Linked DNA regions of Schizosaccharomyces pombe. The main gene of each other region encodes a partner of the protein of the gene in region 3 in a complex. Each region holds a gene or a part of one and is shown on either strand. Other genes may lie near its edges.

The links.
Region 1: dad5 (region 3) and dam1 share a complex: the UniProt entries of both Schizosaccharomyces pombe proteins name them as parts of the DASH complex.
Region 2: dad5 (region 3) and spc34 share a complex: the UniProt entries of both Schizosaccharomyces pombe proteins name them as parts of the DASH complex.

Annotation. Positions count from the first base shown.
Region 1 is NC_003424.3:3,105,691-3,108,875, forward strand, and holds dam1 (DASH complex subunit Dam1), read right to left. Parts: upstream 1,152-3,185; coding exon 684-1,151; 3' UTR 501-683; downstream 1-500. Other genes in the region: WD repeat-containing protein Atg1801, read right to left, coding at 181-218; csr101 (sec14 family protein), read left to right, coding at 1,150-2,316; ubi5 (ubiquitin-40S ribosomal protein S31 fusion protein), read right to left, coding at 2,738-3,185. UniProt on the Schizosaccharomyces pombe protein: Component of the DASH complex that connects microtubules with kinetochores and couples microtubule depolymerisation to chromosome movement; it is involved in retrieving kinetochores to the spindle poles before their re-orientation on the spindle in early mitosis and allows microtubule depolymerization to pull chromosomes apart and resist detachment during anaphase.
Region 2 is NC_003424.3:3,673,199-3,676,700, forward strand, and holds spc34 (DASH complex subunit Spc34), read right to left. Parts: upstream 1,697-3,502; 5' UTR 1,597-1,696; coding exon 1,102-1,596; 3' UTR 501-1,101; downstream 1-500. Other genes in the region: ABC family Fe transporter Atm1, read left to right, coding at 2,328-3,502. UniProt on the Schizosaccharomyces pombe protein: Component of the DASH complex that connects microtubules with kinetochores and couples microtubule depolymerisation to chromosome movement; it is involved in retrieving kinetochores to the spindle poles before their re-orientation on the spindle in early mitosis and allows microtubule depolymerization to pull chromosomes apart and resist detachment during anaphase.
Region 3 is NC_003421.2:1,666,762-1,674,830, forward strand, and holds dad5 (DASH complex subunit Dad5), read right to left. Parts: upstream 4,102-8,069; 5' UTR 3,845-4,101; coding exon 3,560-3,844; 3' UTR 3,183-3,559; downstream 1-3,182. Other genes in the region: DNA-binding transcription factor, nutrient sensing, zf-GATA-type Gaf1, read right to left, coding at 1-2,116; SPOM_SPCC417.03 (uncharacterized protein), read left to right, coding at 5,242-5,290, 5,482-5,603. UniProt on the Schizosaccharomyces pombe protein: Component of the DASH complex that connects microtubules with kinetochores and couples microtubule depolymerisation to chromosome movement; it is involved in retrieving kinetochores to the spindle poles before their re-orientation on the spindle in early mitosis and allows microtubule depolymerization to pull chromosomes apart and resist detachment during anaphase.

The sequences.
Region 1 (3,185 bases), on a different chromosome or scaffold from region 3:
AAGTATTAGTGATGTTGATATCAAAAACAATAAAATAAGTACTTTGAATCCTGGTTAAATCCACAAAATAGTAAGCGAGACATATTCGATACCATTTTCAGCACAATTGGCCGATACGTATATTGTTCTAATGACTGGCTTGAGACAAGTGGAATGACCCGCGGCTATACACTTACATACGCTGCTTTGCCGCGGTACTTCCGAACAAAGAAATGCATTTTGAAGTAAAACGAAAACTAGTTGTATACTTGAAAACAAGTGTAATTGCTCCAATGTTTAAAATTACAAATATAGAATGTGAACAAATTTCGACACTTCAAATAGGTTCAATTAGTGTTACATATTTGAGGTATTGAAAGAGCCACTGAAGTTGTAAATGTGAGTATCGAAAATAGACTACAAATACATATTCATTTTATTGGAAATTGAAGATTGGAGAAGCTATTACATATGAGTTTACTGAACGCTTTCTAGAACTTTTAAAGCAATTGTCTACAGTTCACTTCGCTGAAGAAAAATGTGCATTAAAATGTTAAAAATTGTATATAAATCGTAAAATTGAATGATCATTATGATTCCGTTGTTTCATTATCCAACCTGATATGCTAGGTTATTCCCTTCGACTATTATAATAATAAATGAAAAAGAAAAAACTTCAACCAGTCTCCCTTGCTTAAATAAATTTATCTGGAAGCGGAATAGGTTTCTGGCCGTTCAATGAAAGAAGTGTCATTTGTAGCAAATGTTTCGTCTGCAGTTGCAAAATTGGGATCGTGAGAAATAACACCACCATCGTAGGGAGGGTCAGAAATCGAATGACCAGTACGAGTCATCAGCGTTGCCTTAAATTGGTCTTTCTTAGCTTGGAGTAAAAAACTTTCCGAAAGCGGTGCATTTTCATAATCTACGCAAAAAGCATTGATTTGCAATCCATAAAGAAAAGAAGAAAACGATTCGTTGAAATTGTCGAGTATTTGTTTGGTTGCTGACAGGTGATTCATTCGTTTACGAAATTCACTCACATTATCATCCAAAACAGCCAGTGACTTAGTAAAGGCTTGGAGATTCGAAGGGATTGCATTCTCACTTTCTATTTTCACATTATCAACATTTTCTAAAGGATTTTGAGTAGCTTTCTGGTATTTCTCCATGTTTTCGCGACTTTGGGTGAGATGTAGATGTTCTACAGCGCTTTCGGCAGCAGCAGCAGGAACATTTTTCTTCCGACGTTCTCAAAAACAGCCTGAGCCTGAGACTGTAGACGAAAAAGTGAGCTTTGAAAGTTATTCACCTTTAAAGTTGATGATTCAAAAGACATGGCCTAGGTTTCAAGAGCATAAAGAATATCGCGAATCGTTCATACGATTAGCAAAATGCGACTCACCCGACGCTATCTTAGTACGATTTTTGGCTTCTTGCAATAACGATTCACATGAAGCAAGTCAAAAGTTAATCAATACGCTACAATGGCGCGTAGATACAGGTGTTGAGCGTATCGTTGAGCGGGGTGAGCTTTATGCCAAAGAGACAAATGATGATCAGTTCTTGGAACAATTGAGAACTGGAAAGGTAACTATGTTGGGAAGGGACTTATCTGATCGCCCTATCTGCTATATTCAAGTCCATTTACATCAACCCTCAAAATTGACTCAGAATTCTCTTCGTGAGATGACCGTGTGGGTAATGGAAACTATGCGACTTTTTCTGCGACCACAAAAGACTTTGAAGGACTCTATGGACTCTCCTCAAAATGTGAATGTTCTGTTCGACCTTAGTAACTTTTCTCTACATAATATGGATTATTCTTTCGTTAAGTATTTGGCATCGTGTTTGGAGTATTATTACCCACAATCTCTTGGTGTTTGTATTCTTCATAAATCTCCTTGGATTTTCAGAAGTGTTTGGAACATTATTAAGGGATGGATTAAACCAGAGATTGCTGCGAAAATTGTTTTTACTCAGAGCGCAAACGACCTCGAAAAATACATAGACTATTCGGTAATTCCTACTTCTTTAGGAGGAGGCAACAAAAAGATATTCCAATACATAGAGCCAGTAGAGCATGAGAATGATGCAGTCATCGAAGATAGCGCTGAAAAGACTGCAGCACTTGCTCGCTATTATGCGTATTTCAGTGAATGGGAGCAGCACTCTTTAAATTGGGCCAAGCTAGATGATGATGATGCTCAAAATGAAAAAGTCCGCTTATGCTGCGATGCTGCAGGTACCAACTTTGCCAACTGCTATTGGAATGTTGACAAATATATACGAGCGAGAACCGTTTACGACCGACTGAAATGGATTGGTAATGTTTAAATTTACTCAATCTAAACGCTATGTTTTACGACTCAATTCTTTTTATTCTTTTATTAATAAAAGAATGCATCTTCCTATATTTACTACCTTTTACTAAAAACTTGAGTTTAGATCTAATGTCCTCGAAATACTCATGATTCCTCAATGGCGTTTTCAATAATCGCGTTTGCGCATATAAAAACTGTTGAAAATTCCACCAATCATTCAACCGTAGCTTGCTTGTTTAGTTTGGCTTATGTTTAGATTATTTATTTAAAAAAATCATCATGGGACTACTAGAAATATAATACAAATGAAATGTTTTCATAACCATTTACAATATAAGTATTTTCAATTCAATATAGCACATTACAATGAGCAATATAGATATATTACAAAATATCACTTAAAAAAGTGTTAATTTATTTTATCGCAAACTCATTTAAGCTTCCAATTTGAGGGTCAAGTGGCATCTACCACAGTAAAGGCGGTCCTTGTGGTTGGCCATGAAGGTGGATGCACCACAGTTAGGACACTCACGACGAAGACGCTTAACGCTTCCATCATCCTCAACCTTGTAGTACTTGAGGACGGCGAGCTCAACCTTCTTGTGCTTGTGCTTGATCTTCTTGGGAGTAGTGTAAGTCTTCTTTTTACGCTTCTTACCACCACCACGAAGACGCAAAACGAGGTGAAGAGTGGACTCCTTTTGGATGTTGTAATCAGACAAAGTACGTCCATCTTCTAACTGCTTACCAGCGAAAATAAGACGTTGTTGATCAGGAGGAATTCCTTCTTTGTCTTGGATTTTGCTCTTGACATTATCAATAGTGTCAGAGGACTCCACCTCAAGGGTAATCGTCTTACCCGTAAGGGTTTTGACGAAAATT
Region 2 (3,502 bases), on a different chromosome or scaffold from region 3:
AATAAATAATTGTGAATACAATAACAAACACTGAAATAAACAACAGTAAGTGTATTCTTTAATTTTCCAAAGAAGAAGTTTTTCTTAATAAAGGTATTCTTATTGATCCTTTTTTATTGTTTTTTTTGAGAAATCGAGTAAATAATTTTTTTGGCGTAATGTGTGATTGTTAAGGTGGAGCAGCAGCCTTGGTATTAGCAATTAAAACATTCGTTCAAATTCTATCATTCAGTAACAACAAAAAATAATTATAGTTGACGAGTCAATAGAAACACTATGAACCTGACTTTTACTCTATATTAATAATCAAATATAGAATAAATACATAGTGTTCCATTACTTGCTATCATACTATGCTATTGAACTTTTATTTATATCTTAAATAAAATCTTTTAGAACTTTTAAGAACAAGTATGTACTTATGTTTGTATAAATATTAAGAACTCATTACAACAAATGAGTCCAATGCAAAAGCTGGCGTTGAGCCAGTAATCTAATTGCCGTCTTTAACTTATCATGAACATTATTGTATTTTTCACATACTATTCTATAAATGAGAATATTACAAAAACAATGAGTTATTATGCTCCTGAGTTGTAATGTACTTAGTTTGCTAATTATCTTCGTTCAATATCTTTGCCGCTTTAGAGAATTCCTGGAGCAAACAGTCCAAAGATTCTCTTCTCTTCTCTTTATGTTTTTCATATTCTAGGTATTCATAATCCTCTAGCTCTTTTGTAGCCTTCAAAGTAACAGTAGACGAACTTGCTTTTTTCTTAGCAAGCGACATTTCAATATGCTTTTTAAAGGATGATATATCAAAACATCGACTTCTTTTTTTCCTCTTCAGCTTCATCAGTTTGTATTGGGAGTAAGCCGATCGATCATCTGACGTCGAAGGATAACTGCAATCAGAAATATCTCGGGTGCTTCTTTGAGGATGTAACTTCAAAGGAATGAGTCCATGGTCTTTTATATCCTCGCTTAAATACATTTCTTGTTCTTTGCTCAAATCCATGATAAAACAACGACCTCGCTTCTCCTTTTCTAAATGTTCACCAATACGAAAAGTCGATCTGACTACCAACGCAAATAGCCTTCCTAAGATTGTATCAGTTGCTTCACTTTTTCAATTTCTCTTTCAAGTCTTTGGATTTCAGAAGTTTCACGCTGTAGAATATTCTCCCTAGCAGACACCTGATCGGTTTGTCGTTTTTCAAGTTGCTGCAATTGCTCTTTCTGTTCCAGTAAAACGTTTTCCAAATTCTCAATTCCTGACATATGTAAGTTGTATTTCTCAACCAGAGTCTCCAAATATTCACGGCCACCTTGCATAGGATATATATCTAGTAGTTCCTCAATACAAGCAACGTAGTCTGCAGGGTTTTCTGATGCCAACCTTTCACTCCAATCCTTCGGTAGAGATTTGAACTCAGCTGCAATTAGTTCTTCCTTCTGAGTATCGCGAATTAAATCAGTTATAGCATGAGTATGTAGCACCGCGTCTGTGAAACGTGCTGCGTTTGGGTTTTCCGGTTCCAAAAGTTTTTCTGATGTAGCAGCAATAGACTGTAAATAATTCAACAAATCAGACATTTATTTAATAAGTCATCAAAAACACTAATTCGACTCGTAATTAGTAAAAGGTATGTTTCAATTCACTTTACCAGAGTTGCCAAAAGTGTATGCAATCTCTGGGTGTGTGCAGGTGGTTTAACCAAAACGTAATAAACGTTTGGTATCTTTGATATAATGGAAATCACCTGTGCCTGTTTTTGAAATTCTGTTCTCGCTCAGCAAATTATTTTAACAAAGGTAAAGCATTGCGTTCATTCCTTGCTATTTTCCTTTATTTGCTACACCGAATCATTCTTACGTTTACGCTTTAGGCACACATTTCTTCAGCTCAGATTATCCATTAATAATTATATGTAAAACTTTTATAAAGGTTAATACACGCTAAAAATTTCGTAATCCTCAGTGCAGTTTTGATGAGTTTGCAATTGTTGGACTCTACTTCGCAATCGTGATCTAATCAAAATCTACAACTTTCTAAGTCTGCCAGATTTATAGAACTAAAGGTTTGAGAATTATCCTTCTCTTAGTTCTTTTATTCATATATACCATCTATTAAAAAGTTGCCTCTTTGGAGGCTATTTGAGGTTTTTCTGACTGAACGTTTCGTCTGTTTTTCATATTCTATCAGCCAAGTTTATTCTATTTAAATATAGATTTAAAAACTTTAATTATCTTAAATAGAAGAGCAGTATATTGGGTATAACTAACAGCTTGAAGCTCTGACATCTTAAAGTGTTGTATTAATAAAAATGCTAGAACGATGTCCCTGGAAATTAATCAGCTCGCCAAGAAATATTCCAGCTCGCTCTTTTCTTAATTCTCGTGGAACTTATCTTGTTTTAAGAAAGTCAAATATATTACCTCTTCAACATATACTGCGGTTTTCCAATTTTGCATCTAAGCAATGTTTCCCACTTAGAAATGGAAATAATTCGGCTTCAAAAGCGTTATGGAATAACAAATCAAAAGAAAAAGAGCCACTGAATACTTCTGTTAAACTTGCTTCCGATGTACCAGATGATAAAAATGTAACAGGACAAATGATTGTTAAGGACATGCTTCAATATATTTGGCCCAAGGGGAAGACTAATTTGAAAGTTAGAGTTGTTTCGGCTCTCGCACTACTTGTAGCTGCCAAAATTCTTAACGTCCAAGTTCCTTTTTACTTTAAATCAATTATCGATACCATGAATACAACACTTGTTCAAGAAGTAGGAGCATTGTGGTCTACTGTAGGAGCTGTTGTTCTCGGTTATGGCTTTGCTAGAATATTTTCTACCGTTTTTCAAGAGTTAAGGAATAGCGTTTTTGCAATTGTGTCGCAAAGCGCTATTCGAAGTGTTTCTAGCAATGTCTATCAACATCTGTTGAACCTTGACATGAATTTTCATCTCTCAAAGCAAACAGGAAGTATTACTAGAGCAATGGATCGTGGTACAAAAGGTATTAGTTTCATTCTTTCCTCCATGGTGTTACACATCATTCCTATTACCCTTGAAATTGCTATGGTGAGTGGTATTCTCACTTACAAGTACGGACCTTCGTTTTCGGCCATTGCTGCTACAACCGTTGCTCTTTATGCTCTTTTTACTGTTAGGACGACATCCTGGAGAACTGTATTCCGTCGTCAAGCAAATGCTGCTGACAGTAAAGCATCAGCCGCGGCAATTGAATCTCTGATTAATTATGAAGCCGTTAAAACTTTTAATAACGAATCATACGAAATGAGCAGATATGAAAAGCATCTTTCCGCCTACGAAAAAGCCAACGTTAAGGTAGCATCTTCTTTGGCCTTTTTGAATTCAGGACAGGCTATTATATTCTCTACCGCTCTTACTTTGATGATGTACATGGGTTGTCGTGGAATTGTAACTTCCAACCTTACTGTAGGTGACCTTGTCATGATTAACCAATTAGTATTTCA
Region 3 (8,069 bases):
TGCTCTTCCTAGTTGATCCCTTACGCCCGCCTGACTGTTTAGGTGTAGCCGAGGTACCAACACCACGATTACGTTTTTTAATAACGTCGGTTTTTAAACTAAGGGGTCTCACGACACCATTGATCTTCATAAACAAACCACAAGCATTACACAAAGGTTGTCCATCGGGACTGCGACGCCACAATGGAGTGGTACGTGTCTGACAATTTGTACAGGTAGGAGTGGGGTTAGTGGCATTGGCTCTACGGGTATTTGCATCTCCCTTTTTGTCTTCAGCAGCGTTTGAAACCGTTGGCTTCTCGGCGTTCTTATTGATATTAAATGACACAGAACGATCTTTTTTCGTATCCAACGTAGTAGGTAGTGCAGCTTGCGGAGTAGCAGCAGTATTGGTGGTGCGTTTCTTCAAACTTGCAGCCATCCCTTCGGGCAGCACCCCAGGAGAAGTTATGGAGTTAGCGGAAGTAGCGCGATTTAAGTAAGGCATATGATTGTACATCCCAGGACTAGACCCCATTAAATTGGTATCCTGAGCACTTACTTTGCGATGAGGAACAGCAGAAAATTGTGGACTGGTTTGATGAAAGAAATTCTGCCCAAAGTTGTTAGAGGAATTGCTGCGTACTGGAGCAACACCCATAGCGGTTCCAACACGCATGAATTGCGGAGAAAACATATCAGAACCAGGGAGAGGACTGTTGGATGAATGCCCGGTAGTTTCACCAGATGCCCATTCAGCACTATTGTGGCTCGAAATAGAAGGATTAAATGATTCAGCATTTTCCTGATTTGAATCAACGCCAGAAGAACCTTGACCTACAGATTTGCTTGAATTCGTACGGAAAGTATTAGGACGACGGGGGAATTGAGAGTTCGAGTTCGGTACAGGGGCCGAGATAGGTAGCGAACTAACCATATTGATAGATGGCATACTGACATATGATCCTGGTGACTGGATTAATGGCGACGAAACTTCATGATTGTTTCTAGAGACATCAAAGATATTATTTCCCGAAACATCGGGAAAAAATGATTGATTAGGTGTGACACCAGAACTTAAAGGTGATGAAATTCCAAAAAGCCCTTGGCTATTATAGGATGAGCTGAAGCCATCTTCTGATGCAGTATTAGCATGATATGAGGTGGAAGGAACACTGCCTGGAATGGGAAATCCAGCAGAGCCATGCTCAAAACTAAAGGAGTTGGTGGCGGAAGAAGGAAAAAGAGTTTGTTCATGAGTATTGGCGTCAACAAATGAGGGAAAGCCTCCATTTTCTGGAAATGATGAAGGTTCTGATGGAGTCATATCAAAGTCCAATCCCAAAACATCCGTATCTGCATGCTTTGGAGAAGCTTTGATACGCTGATTAGGAGAAGCAGAATTATTAGAATTAGCGGGAATGGAAGGGGGAGCATTAGGCAAATTGTGAGAATGAACACTAAAAAAGTCAGAAGGAGGAGATATAGGCAATGCTGAGGCGTCAAGATTAGAAAAATTAGAGCTGTCAATGTCTCTCTTAACGAAATTAAAAGAATTAGAAGCATGAATCTTTGGGTAGCTAAATGGTTGGGATTCCAAATCATGGGGTCTTTGCATAGCATTGGGATCTGGAAAATGAGAATCGGCAATAGAGCGCTTTTTACTTTTTGCAGTAGACTCGTCAAAGCTTGTTTTACGCACGCGACGCTGAATATAATTAAATTCCATCAACGAGCTTCCAGTGGTATCAGCAGGTACGCTATATGCAGGTATTGGGTTTAATTTCATTTCAGTATCTGAGTTATCGGCAGTGGTTTCAGCAGAAGAAGTAGGAGGAACGGATTGAGCACTAGAAGGGGCAGTGGGATCAGAGAAAGTGTCTGGGGTTAAAGTATTTGAATCACCATTTGGTGTTAAGTTCTTTTGCAAATTTATAGACATTAAACGCCATGTCAAGTTCTCGACACGACGACCATTAGACAGTTCCGACTTTGCCTTGGAAAACATTTTCCAGAGGTCTGACATCGTGGAATAATCTTCTTTGGAGGAAGATTCGTCCGTGGTAGATTTGTCAAATTTTTTGACAAGTGCTGGATGTTCCGCTTCCTTGAAAAAATTGGAAAACTTTAGATCCATAAGTAAGGTTTTATGCAAAAAATGTTTAATCACAAAGCAGGGATATATCCAAAAATGATACCCAAAAAATCAGTAACTTCAGCCAGCTTGAAATGTGGATAAGAAAGAAAAAGGGAAGTTTCCGAATAAAAAACCGAAACAAAAAATAAACGAATGAAATGAACGAAAGAGATCGCCTCTCAAACGTTAAACAAAAAAAAAGTTGTAGTAAAAAATCACAAAAAAATAATAATATAAGGTAAGATATAAAAAAACAGGAAATCTTAAGCTAGGACCAAGAAAGCTTCTTTAAATGGAAAACACGAAATGGCAGTGAATACCAAGACACACCAACAACGTTGTTTAGTTAGGTACTACTTTGAAATGATTGTGCAAACCACACGAGCGAAGGTAAAAATAGCAAGAAGTTCAAGTTGCTTTGATATGAACAGGTACTTTAAACAAAAAAGACGTGAACCCCAAAACAAAAACGATCTAAAAAGGGGAAATAAAACAACAAAAACGAACTAAAATACCAAAACAAATATAGAAAAATAAAACAGATATAAGCTAGAATACAATCCAGAGGTGTGGTGGAACAAAAAAAAGTAATTTGTAGACAGATTGGGGAATGGTGGCGCTATGGCTTCCTCAAATCAAATTTCCGTTTTCCCTGGAAGAGAGCAAAAAAAGAAGAAACTGCAAAAGAAAACAGATATTTATTGATTAGGTATGTAATAAGGAGGAGCCAAAGCTTAAAGAAATCAATTTACAAAATCGTTTGAAACGTTTAAAATTAGTACAACCTGCTTTTCTTTTTTCGTTGAGGTTGGCAAAGGGACGGCGTTGTTCACACCCATCTAAGCGAGGTCGAAGAAGCTCTCTTCGGTAAATCGTAAGGTGAAAATAAAGAAGCCTAACGAAAGGAACCACTTTTACCTTTTTTTAGCTAGCTATCCAATGATTGTGCGCTATCTCAAATAAAAACCATATGATTGGTACACTGACTGTTTTGTGAAGCGCAATTGACCAATCATTTCTGGTATCCAATTTTTGCAGTTTCCCTTGGTTACTTAGCCGACCGAGCTGACCAATGAACGAGATCACTTATTAGACGAACTAGAACACCCTCTTTTAGCCTGCTATTTTTTACAGAACTGCATCGTACAATGCAGTAACATAGGTTTCGGGAGTGCAGCCCGAGAGTCGCAAAACTCCCATAGCGTAAAATGCCGAAAAGCCGTATTCCGGATGCATAGTTGATACAACTCCAACACCCACATATTGAAAGAAGCCCCAAATACCGCATTGTTGCAGTAAAATAAGAAATAGCCCCATCTAATTAAGAAAGAGCACATTCCTACTTCCTTTCCTGTTATATTTCTCCTTCATTGGGGCACTTTGTCTCTTGTATTCTCCTTTTTATCATTGTCATTTGAGGTCTGCATCAAAAAAGTTGGAGACTCACATAGGAACGTCTTCTTCCACAGCATCTGAAGACTTTTGAATCCTCGCTTCGGACATAACGCGACCAGACGCCATCAGAAGCGAGGCCTGAAGAGCACCAAGACGTCGGATGGCTTCTGCTTGAATTGCGGTAACATGTAAGTGGTTTTCCAAATGAGACATGTTGGATTGCAACTTGGACAGTTGGTCCACCAAACGATTCATTTGAAAGCTTTTCATTTGACTGGGAGATGGAGATGAACTGCTTGTTCGACTAGTTGGCACAATGGTAGAACGACGCATGGTGTAAGGTGAAAGTGAAAGAAGGCAGACAGGTAGATGGAAGGTAAACAAACCAAACGCGTGTGTGATGGGCGAGTGCAGCTTTTAAGACACCGCACTAAAATGCAATCAACCTTCAGTATCGACAATTAAAGGAGACCATTACCCACTTGAGTGGTATTTCAATTTAACAAATTGCAGCGATTTCCAACAATACCGGCCGACGTTAGTATTCCTCAAAAATGAATAAGAGCGTAAAATAGCGTGGAAAGAGTGGCAGAAAAAGGCGACCAGCGCAGCGCACCTATCTTTTATGTAGCTGACAAGAAGGAAAAGGGGGACGGTAAATTTTTCGCTTACTGATAAAAAACCAAACTTTCGTTATATGGTTTAGCGAGACATAATTTCCAAGCTAATAAGTAATACCGAAATCGTTCCTTTTGCTAAATTTTTCGGGTCAGTTCCGTGGAAATAGGCAAAATTATTGGTAAGGATGGAATTATCAAGTTTTGCATAATTTCCATGGAAGTGTAGAAGGAGGATGAAGACGGAACTGATGAAAAGTGCTCCAAAGCTCCGATCACAATCATGTTGGATGAGGTGCTTTGTCCAAATCAAAGGAAATAAAAATTCTCCGTAAGCTCGACATGCTAGGCATCTTATGAGGAAGATAGGCAAATGAGTATTTTAAAGGAAAAAAGAAATGGAAAGAGCACGATCGTTAGACAAATTACATACGGAAGTCAATGTCCGTGCAAGAGAAGACGCAGCAGCGTGATGTGCATCCGTTGTTTTAATTATTGTTTGAATTTTCAAACTTTACTCAACTACGATCGGAAAACCTTTTTTTTTAATAAACTACTTGTCTTAATATCCTCGGGTTTTATTCAGTTTCAAAAGCATCGAGATTTCACTACACTGGGGTTTATCTTTTAGGTCCCCCACATCTATCATTTCACAGAGTTCCATTTCATATCGACGCTAGGATGGGGTTTGACATATAGTCTTCTTATATGTGAAAACATATAGCTTTTCTAATCAGGTTTTGTTTTTTCGTTTCAGATATATCGGAAGTGAGTTGACCGAACAATGGATTTTATCTTAGCATGGACAAATGTATCAATTCCCTGGAAATGATTCTCTTGGAAACAAAAGAAAGGAAACAGGGATACACAAACCAGTCGAGACAAATAAAATCCAACAGGAAAATTGCTTGGTGTAAGGAAATCGTCATAGAATGCTTTATGGGAGTTTGGGAAGTATTTGTAATATTTACATTTTTTTTCTACTTTTTTTTTTTTTAATTTTTTTAGTTAATGTTTGGCTATTTTCAAAGGAGGAATTCCTGAGTTAGATGAAAATTAGTTTTTAATTTGTTTCTTTTTTTTTATATAATCAAGTTGGTTCATTTAGTAACCATGCTTCCTCATACCGCTTTTTCTAATCATATTCATTACCATTTTATAAGTAATTTTTTCAAACATTCACTCATCCCTTTCTAATCATATACCCCATTTTTATTATAGTTTCTTTCATGAAAATGAATGACTCCTACACTCCATACACATACATCGTTTCGTTTCACAATTTTGTACGCTTCCCCATAAAACAAAGAAATACTTCCATTCACCACGCCCCTAACAAAAGAAAAAGAAAAGATGAAGCCCCTTTCCGTCTATGTATATATACCCTTTTTCATGCTCACACGTGTTTTTCCTGCGGTTTATCATTATCGCTTATGGAAGTGATAATGGATATCTCCCAGTTGCTTATTTCCTAAATCACTCATTTCTTATCCTTATTGCGCTAAAAATGATAACAGTCGCATATTTTCCTCGTCCCTGCTAATTTACGAAGAGTTGATTACTTCATTCCAAGAAAGACGTAGGAAGACGTAGGAATGTCAAATTGCGATCCTATTTTCCCAACTCATCTCGCTTTCACTTGGCGTTGTTGGCATTCCTTTGATTATGACGGACATTTACATCCGTAATAGATGATTGCATGTAAACGAATTTTGTGCTTTGTCAAAGTGCAAAAAAGAGCTACCGATAAACGGAGGACCGATTGTGTTGAACAACTGCACTGACTAACACAAATTTATCAATGGAAAAAAGGTATACGTCGGCGATGCTCTGATAACTAAATGAAGGCTTTTTTTTTTCCTTTTGCGACTCGCCTGCCGCCGCACACTTACTCATGTTGATAGCTCAAACAAATCAAAATACTAACTTTAACGCCGACAATGCTCCACTTGCATCTTGTCTATCTTGGCGATTATGGTTACCTCAAACACATACCGTCTTTTACCACTTATCACTAACAACTTTGTGGAGCGGATTTTCATCCTACCTTGATAATCATCTACCCTCGCACCAGTACCGCAGTATTTCTTGATAATGAGAACGGATGCAGACTAGATGGGGCAGTAGTAAAAGAGCTCGCAAAAGAAACATGAAATTTCATAAACAAATGCTGACGAAAGTATATGAATGAAACTAACATTAACACAAATATGAAATTGAGATTTGAGTCAAACCCAATAATTAAATCCAAACTTTACATGAAACTGACTAGTACCAAAAATGATCAAAACCATACAAATACAGTCTACCCACTTTGGCTGAGAAATCGCCTATCAAACATGACTTGCTTAGTTGGCCCAGTCTATTACATTCCTCGACATATCCGTATACAAGGAAGATGATGATGGAGGAACACTTGATAACATGATTAATAAAAGTCTTTCGAAATCTAAAGCATTCCATTTGTTATCGAGCAAAAGAATAGAGGTAAAAAAAAGTTTTTGTTGTTCATCAGAAGGACCTTTATTTTATTTTTTTTTTGGGTCTTTGACTTTTTCTATTGAGGTATCCATACTAAAAGAAACATTAGAGAAGCCTTTGCAAATCATCACTTTTCTCTTCTTCTCTTTTCTTACTTCGTTTAACGATCTTCCATACGTTTTGTCTTTCTCAGCACCTGAATGCGTAAAAAATGAAATTTTTAAAATCCCACCCCCGTTAAACGAACATTTTTCATTCCCTGTCAAATGTTGTGCTTATCAATTCATTTTGCGTAATCGATTTCTCCTCATTTGGTGTAATTCAGAAACAATCCATCTTACTTATCTGATAGATACCGTGGTAATTGAATCATCCACTTTCTGGTGTACAGGATCACTGATATACATTTTGCCGCAGCCCGACGTTTTTATCTATCAGGGCTCGGGATCCCTACGACCCTCGATAATTGACTATCCACGTGAGTAATTTAGCCTACATTAGTGCCCCGAGGCATTGCACAGATGCGAGATGTCCTATTGTACTCCGAGAAAAGGCCCCTTTCAAATTTTCTTCTTTGCGCTTCTTTCTACTGGGATCTATCCAGTTCGCCGCGGACTTGATATGGAAGTAAAAGCATTTTATGCAAACGACCAAAATACCAACTTGATTATCCTTTCTTAGTTTTGTTATTTGTATAGATGAAATGAGTGCTATCCACTACGACAACATTCAACAAGTCATCGTAGCACAAAAATACATTCTCCAATACTACCTATATAGCATGGGCAAAGAAGGTACGACGGAATGAAGGTGAATAACGAAGCGACTTTTCAAATCTTTAAAAGAGTTTACAGAAAGTTCGAAATAGTACCTAGATGTCTGCAATGTTTTTTACCATTTTTTTCGTTAAAATACTTTTGCGTTAAACAGATATCTAAGTGCGTAAAAGTATTTTGATCATCCCTTCGTATTGTGTTATATTCGTTGCGTTTTCTGGAAAAAGTTATTAAGTGCTTCGTTATTCAAAGAGGGTCTGTGGCTTTTTTTTTCTTTCAGAAAAACTAATACACTAATGTATATAACGATATGTATGATTCCTTTGGTAATCCAGAAAAGGATGTAAATTCACAACTTGAATGTTTGGTATGAAAGGATGAATGTGGCTGTCTAATAATAAGCTGTTTATTTTTTTTAAAAAATAATATCTAATTAACTTCGAGTTGTCAATTGAAATGGCTTCTGCAAGTCTTTTTTTTTTTTTTTTTTTTATACCTAAAGGCCTTTTTCAAGTTTACTGATTTGCGACCAATACCTTAATACTACATTTGCTCCGTCAAAAAGTTTGTATGAACTAATTTTCTCATTACCAGCCACACCATAAATCTCGAGAATGTACAGTAAAAAAGCACAATGGCTAGTGTCTGCTGAAAGTTCCAGGACCTAATGAAACTCCAATGTGC